Linked DNA regions of Sus scrofa. The protein of the gene in region 1 interacts with the protein of each later gene in a biochemical or structural test. Links are inferred from orthologs where the notes say so. Each region holds a gene or a part of one and is shown on either strand. Other genes may lie near its edges. The genes, in order: PDK1 and PDHA1.

Region 1 (2,938 bases):
ACAGATTTAGGAACAATTACAGTTGACTCTTAGTAAGCATATAGCTCACCTGGTGGGAGCAGAAGCACTTAGCCTATTGGCTTGGGATATTCCATGTGTTTATGCAGACAGAGATCAGTGTATTTCACAGGGATGAAAAGCACTAGGCCCCACCAATCCACTGGATTTGCTCTGCAGTGGGCTGTTGGTGCCTGATTCAGTGACACTAATTTCTTGTTATGGCCACTAGATGGCACCTATTTTATAGGAAATGCTGAAGACTTCACATTAGAAAAAGTAAATTTGTCTGAAAAGATTAAAATTATTTCAAGGTAATAATTTTTCTTTTTTTTAACCATCTTAATTGTGAAGAACTTAAAAAAGAGTGTCTTCACGTTTCCCTTTTTATCATTAAATGTAACTTTTTTTTTTTTGCTTTTTCTAGGGCCGCTCCCCCAGCATATGGAGGTTCCCAGGCTAGGGGTCGAATTGGAGCTGCCAGCCTACACCAGAGCCACAGCAACACGGGATCTGAGCCACATCTGTGGCCTACACCACAGCTCATGGCAACCCTGGATCCTTAACCCACTGAGCAAGGCCAGGGATTGAACCCGCAACCTCATGGATCTTAGTAGAATTTGTTAACCACTGCGCCATGATGGGAACTCTGTAAATGTAACATTTTTGTTTGAGTCTATAGATCCAGGAGTTTGGCAGTTCTGGCATATTTAAGAGAAAATATATATATATGTGGAAGGTTTTTAGCTTCATTTTGGGAAAAAAATAGAATACAGGAAGTCTTATAAAATCGTTAAAAAACAACAAAGACCTTCCTTACCATTATTGGAATGAAATTTCCAGTTCATTCTCTTCTACATCTTGAGGAATGAATGCCTGTAGCTTAAGGTTGAGATCCTACCAAAACATCCTAACTTGAAGATGACAAGGAACAGTTGGTCTCAGGTTCTAGTGATTTATAGGAACTGAAATAGAACAGTGAATTGATGGTGTTACTATGTTGGAAACATGAAATTACAGTCAGCCCTCTGTATCCCCTGGTTTTGCATCCACAAATCTAACCAAATGGGAATCAGAAGTATTTGCAGAAAAAAAAATTCCAGTAAGTTCCAAAAAGCAAAATTTGCTGCATACCCACAACTATTTATTTACGTAATATTTATATTGTAACTATTTGCATAGCATTTATATTAGCTATTATAATTAATCTAGAGTTGATTTTAAGTATACAGCAGGATCTGTATGGATTATATGCAGATACCACACCATTTTATTTAAGGGACTTGAGTATCGGCAGATTTTGGTATCTATGAGAGGGTTGATACAGAAGTTCAGCTGTGCATGATGCCGAAATCACATGTGCTGTAACTAAAATCCATGACTTTAATGGCAGAAGAAGGCACAGGATCAAACCCAGATTTCATTAAATGATTGTACAATTACATATGTTAAGGTACATATGAGAATTTTTATGCTTTTACAGTTAACTGACTTTTTCAATTAACTAACTTCTGCTCTGGGTCATGTTTTATAAGAGGTATCTTTCATACCTATGTAATATTTCAATTCAGCAACTTCCAGGCTGGCTGGAGAATTACTGCAAGTCCTAAACTCAGTCAACATACACATTAAGCAGTTGCCATAGGCTTAGTAAATAACTTATTTCAAATATGTGCTCTATTCTAAAATGTTAGGGTACCTGCTGTGGTGCAATGGGATTGGCGATGTCTCTGGAGCACTGGGATGCAGGTTCCATCCCTGCCTGGCACAGTGGGTTAAAGGAGGATCCATTGTTGTCATAGCTGCAATGTAGGTCCCAACTGTGGCTCCATCTGATCCCTGGCACCAGATCCATGTGCCGTGGGGTGGCCAAAAAAGAAAAAAAAAATTAAACACAACAGCCGTCATTTAGAATAGAATAAGCTAGAATTCAAGTAGATGGTGTATGGTAAAATACAGATCCAAAAAAATATTGTTCAATTTGTAATACTTTTTATACTATTGCATGTTTTCTCAAATAATGGATTCTTTTTAAAAAATGCCTAACTTGAAGTCCCGCTTTTTCTTTTAGGCTCTGTCCACAGACTCAATAGAAAGACTCCCAGTGTATAACAAAGCTGCCTGGAAGCATTACAACACCAACCATGAGGCTGATGACTGGTGTGTCCCCAGCAGAGAACCAAAAGACATGACAACATTCCGCAGTGCCTAGACACACTTGATACCCTTGGAAAATCCAGATGTGGCTTTTGCATTAAATTTGGAAGGGATGGTGTTCAGAACTACATTATACCAAATACTTCATGTGTCGTTTTCACAGTTCACTATCTGGGTAGAGTAAGTGGCAAGTCAGTTCCATTTATGCCTGTTCAATCTCCTCAAGGACAACATCGTATCTACATTACACTTAATATTTTCACAGTTAATTGAACCTATTTTTAAACAACTAGTTTTGCTCACCTTTCTCTTTAGAGTGGATTTCAGAAGCGTAGAAATCTTTGGGTTTCTACGGGAAGCTATGTGGTTTTTTAAAAAATTCTTTTATGTCTGCTGGAAACATCTTCATACTGATTAGCTAGGTTAGCCATCTTTCTGTTTTAGAGGAGTTCTGCCGTCCTTTATTTAGTAATGATAGATGTAATAAGACGATCAGATTTATACAACTATCTACAATTAGAGCCGTAAACAGTTGCTCTGTTACTGTAGAACCAGCGATCTTTCAGCATCTACATGCATTGTCTTCACTCTGAAGTTAATTTATCATTTTTTAATTTTATTGCAAAGGATTATGATTGGTTTCCTGTGGAGTTAAGCCAAGATCATGGTCTCTTGTGATTAATGCAAGGGGAAATTCTGATACTAAAAACAGCTGCTAAAATTCTAAATTAAGAGATTTAGGGCAAAGCAGCAAGTCCCCAAAACCGTACTGATTGTTGAGATT
Region 2 (4,492 bases), on another chromosome or scaffold:
CTGCAGTGGCTAATGACTTGATTCTTGTAGAACTGCATGCTGGGCAACATTTTTTGTTTTACAACCCCCCCCCATTTTGATCTTATTTTTGACGAAGATTTGGGAAGCATTTCATGACCCACTTGGCCCACACCACTAGAAATGCTCATTCCCAGGTCAGGGGAGGATTTCCTTGCTAGGACCCTCCATGTGCTCTTATGGGACTAAGCCCTGCTAACAGTAGCCCAAAGCCTCAGGACCACCTGTCATACCAGTCTGTTAGGATCCAGGAAATGGTTCCTTCTTGTTGCTTCTTTCCATATCTAGGGTTACACTATGACCAACATTGATCTGGTAGAATTATATGTATCTTTGGTCCTTCGTTCCAAGTCAGCTAGTCATCTTACTTTTATCAGAGGCTCAGTTGCCCATTTGGTAATGCAAGAAACAGTAGTCTTGTAAAACAGGCAGGATACAAGGAGTATAGCTAGAGACATTAATAAGGTCGTAAGTATTTAAGCGAAGAAATTCCATTCATTGCAGCCCTGTATCTCCCTAGGTCTTGTGACTCAGTCTGTTCTGTACCAGTCGCTATCTTTAAGGGAAATGATACATTGGCATTTGTGCATAAAGTTCACCAAAGATGTCTGCACATACGAGGTGAGTGGAGGGCAATCACGACGATTTACAGGATTGAGCAAGGAATGTTATCTTCAAAGGAGTTACATGGCTGGCTCTAGAAGAAGAAAAATTGAGCTTTATGGCTGAGGAGGTATTTCTGCCATTGGGGAGGTGAGCTTAATGAATAATGTAGATGAACAATGCACACCAGAAAGGGGGGGTGTGTGTGGAGAAGGCCCAAACAGACAGAGAAAACATTTTTGTTTAAATATTTCTTGTCTTGGAGGCCCGGTCATGGCTCAGCAAGAACGAATCCGAGTAGTATCCGTGAGGACACGGGTTTGATCCCAGGCCTCAGTCAGTGGGTTAAGGATTCCGCATTGTCATGAGCTGTAGTGTAGGTTGCAGATGTGGTTTGGGTCCCTTCGCTGTGGCTGTGACGTAGGCCGGCAGCTGCAGCTCCAATTCGACCCCTAGCCTGGGAACCTCCATATGCCACAGGTGTGGACCTAAAAAGACAAAAAAAAAAAGAAAAAGAAAAAATTCTTGCCTTGCTTTAAAATAATAATTTTATTTCATCAGATCCTAGCTCAAGTAGGCAGGGAAGCCTTTTACAACTGTTATGTAACTTCTTAGAGACAAGTTGGCAGCAGAACCATTTATAAAAACCATATGTTCTGTCCTTTGGCCCCATCAGGCTATTAATCTTTATCATCCAGTGTATTGAGCAGAGGCTGCAAAGGTGCAGTACTGGCAAGACTAGTCGCTGGGTAGTATTGCCCTTGAACGATCTCCAGAGGAGCACGGCTCAGCTGTGGCGCCCAATCTAACAGGGTCCATTCCCGAGTGGCCCTGGAGGCGTGGCCTCGCTTTCCCACGCAGGCGTCCTCAGGTCTCCCGCCCCTCACCCGTGTGGTGACGGAGGCAGCCCTCAGCCCAGCTCTCTGGCTCCGACACCCAATGGGCGGCCGTGGGCCTCTCGGGTGGGCGGGGCACGCCCTGAGAGCAATCCTGGTTGGCCCGTGGCCCGGTGCGGCGCATGACGTCTTCCGTCGCGTCGCGTCGCGTCGCGTTCCGTAGCGCCGCCGTTAGGTCTTAGCGTCCTCCCCGGGCGCCTGAAGGAGACTTGGAGACTTCTGGGCCTCGCTGCTTGAGCGGTTGGGAGTCGCCGCTGCTGCCACTGCCCGCACTCCATGAGGAAGATGCTCGCCGCCGTCTCCCGCGTGTTGTCGGGCGTCGCCCAGAAGCCGGTGAGTCGGCCTGAGCGGCCCGTGGCAGGGAAAGAGCGGGACCGAGGCGGGGCCCGACGCCGGAGGACGCCAAAGGGCAGGGCAAGCGGGCTAGGCGGGCGGGTCGGGCCGGGCGCAGCGGTCTTCGGGGAGCCGCAGGCCTTTGTTCTGCTTCCACGTTGTGTGCTGCACTCCTGGCCGCGAGCGGAGCGGCGACTCGGCCAAGCGGCGCCGCCTGTTGGAGGGGGAGCTTTACAAGGTCCACGTGGAGGTCAGCAGTGGTTCCCCGTGCCGGGCTTGTTGATGCGGCCCCAAAATGCCCGCCCCCCGCCCCCCAAAAGAAGCAAAAGTGCCCGTTCCTTTACTGTAGACAGAAAAGGGGGCCTTGGGCTTCCTCGAGTTGGCTGCCTCTTCCTGGCCGGTTCATTAAAATTTTTCCTTAGTTCCTCTTGACCAGGAATCCGGAGACTGACTCCGTTCAGACGCCAGCCTCACTCTTTACTAGCCCTGTGGTCTTGGGCAAGAGTTTTTTGGTTTTGCTTTTTTTCTTAAAACAGCCCGGTGCTCAATTTCCTCATTTCTGAAATGGAGAGTACTTACTCCATGGGGTTGTCGTGAGGCTTAAAGGAGTGACAAGTATGTAAACCTTTCCGGTAGCGCCTGGTACATGGTAGGTGCCGTCAGTATTAAATATTGTTATTATTTGAGTTCCCAATTTGGTATACATTTGTTGAACGCCAGCGCTCGGCTCTGTGGAGTGTTGATGCAGGGTTGGGTTCCAGAGAAACAACACACTTGGTACTCTTTCCTCCCCTCTGCCTCAACGGTGAGCTTTTCCTAGGCAGTCGATTCAAAAGCCGTCAGGCAGAACCCAGAGGGAGGCCCTCCACTTGCACACAGATGCGGAGACACTCTCATTTAGGATAGAAGTAGCTAAAGTGGTGTTTGGGAGGATGGGGTTAGAGGTTAGCGCTATTTATGGCTCCAACTTTTAGACATTCCTAGCCGAAGTTCAGAGCATTTTGACCTCTAAGCACGGGATGGGTGGTAATGTGACTTGGTATCACTGCAGCCAAGTTTTGACTTGCAGTTCTTGCTCCAGTAACTCCCAAGACTGGCAGCTCAGCTTGGTATAGGGCAGAGATCATCGAACGGTTGGAGGAAGTGTACTTCTCTAGGACTGCCATTGATTGACAAACACAGAATGCCATGTGATTAATCTGTATTAGCATTTAGGTTGTGATTGGATCTCCCTGAAAAACAAGCACATTTCACCGTTGTTTTTGGTCTTTTTGCCATTTCTAGGGCCGCTCCTGCGGCATATGGAGGTTCCCAGGCTAGGGGTCGAATCAGAGCCGTAGCCACCTGCCTACTCCAGAGCCACAGGAACTCGGGATCCGAGCGCGTCTGCGACCTACACCACAGCTCACGGCAACACTGGATCCTTAACCCACTGAGCATGGCCAGGGGTTGAACCCGCAACCTCATGGTTCCTAGTCAGATTCGTTAACCACTGAGCCACGACAGGAGCTCTAGTTTTTGTATTTATTTTTTATTTCTATGTACACAAAAGATAAATCCAGCATTTATTGTGCCCTTAATGTGTGCCAGGCACGTGACTATTTAATGTCCAAAACATCAGTTTTTAGTTGAATGTAGGTAATAGAAATATGTTTTCAACATCATACAGGGCCTTAGTTCGGTGTGATTACAGTAGAACTTCGTTTGAATTGATGGCGTTCTACAGACAAGGAAAATTTGTGAGTTTTCAAATTACTATCCCCTGTGTCCCTATGAACAGCGAAAAGTCAATATTTAAAATCAGAGTTTCATTCCCTTAGCTGTCCAAAATACTCCTGCTTGTGGGTTGTTGTCTTCCTGCAATGTGTTGGCATCAAAGGCAGATTGCACTTGGTGTTCCACCTCAGTAAAACTTGGGCCTTCTCAAAAATCATACAATACATCTCAAGTCAAATAGAAACGAGAGTTGGGTAACAGTGATCTGTTAAAAATGGAATATGGGAGTTCCTGTGGCCCAGTGGGTTAAGAACCTGACTAGTATCCATGAGGATGCAGGTTCGATTCCTGGCATTACTCAGTGGGTTAAAGGATCTAGTGTTGCCACAAGCTGTGGTGTAGGTTGCAGATGCGGCTTGGATCTGGTGTTGCTATGGCTGTGGTGTAGGCCGGCAGTTGCAGCCCCACTTCGACCCATAGCCTGGGAACTTCCATATGCTGCAGATGTGGCTCCAAAAGGACCAAAAATGAAATATAACTTTATTTAGTCAAAAATTCTTAAGAGATAAGATTATTATGGCAGAAATGGATTCCTGTGCAGAACAATTTATTTAATTAAAAACATTCTTTACTCTGTCTCTTTCTTCTTGTTTTCTTTTGTTCTACCCAATTATGTTGAGGGTTTCTTGCCCTTTTGGGAGGTTTAATAATTTCTTCTGCCGGTGTTCAGTAGATGTTTGGTGCGAATCATTCTACATGCAGAGGTGTTGTTTTGATGTGTTTGTGGGAGAAGGCGAGCCCAACCTCTTACTCCTCCACCATCCTGATCCTTCCCTAAAAGCATTTTTAATGAGGATGAGAGACTGAAGGAGTTACTGCTCCTTACCTTGAGCTGTCCTTCTTGTTAAGCTATTTTGCATGTTTTT

Evidence for each region.
Region 2: the proteins of PDK1 (region 1) and PDHA1 form a complex in vitro, tested with the Homo sapiens proteins (2 studies listed by BioGRID, with this or other methods). The link is inferred for Sus scrofa from reciprocal best matches to the Homo sapiens genes PDK1 and PDHA1.

What each region holds. Positions count from the first base shown.
Region 1 is NC_010457.5:78,646,312-78,649,249, forward strand, and holds the end of PDK1 ([Pyruvate dehydrogenase (acetyl-transferring)] kinase isozyme 1, mitochondrial), read left to right. Parts: intron 1-528; exon of another isoform or gene 529-1,836; intron 1,837-2,068; coding exon 2,069-2,209; 3' UTR 2,210-2,284; downstream 2,285-2,938. UniProt on the Homo sapiens protein: Kinase that plays a key role in regulation of glucose and fatty acid metabolism and homeostasis via phosphorylation of the pyruvate dehydrogenase subunits PDHA1 and PDHA2.
Region 2 is NC_010461.5:15,698,413-15,702,904, forward strand, and holds the start of PDHA1 (pyruvate dehydrogenase E1 component subunit alpha, somatic form, mitochondrial), read left to right. Parts: upstream 1-1,511; 5' UTR 1,512-1,793; coding exon 1,794-1,850; intron 1,851-4,492. UniProt on the Homo sapiens protein: The pyruvate dehydrogenase complex catalyzes the overall conversion of pyruvate to acetyl-CoA and CO(2), and thereby links the glycolytic pathway to the tricarboxylic cycle.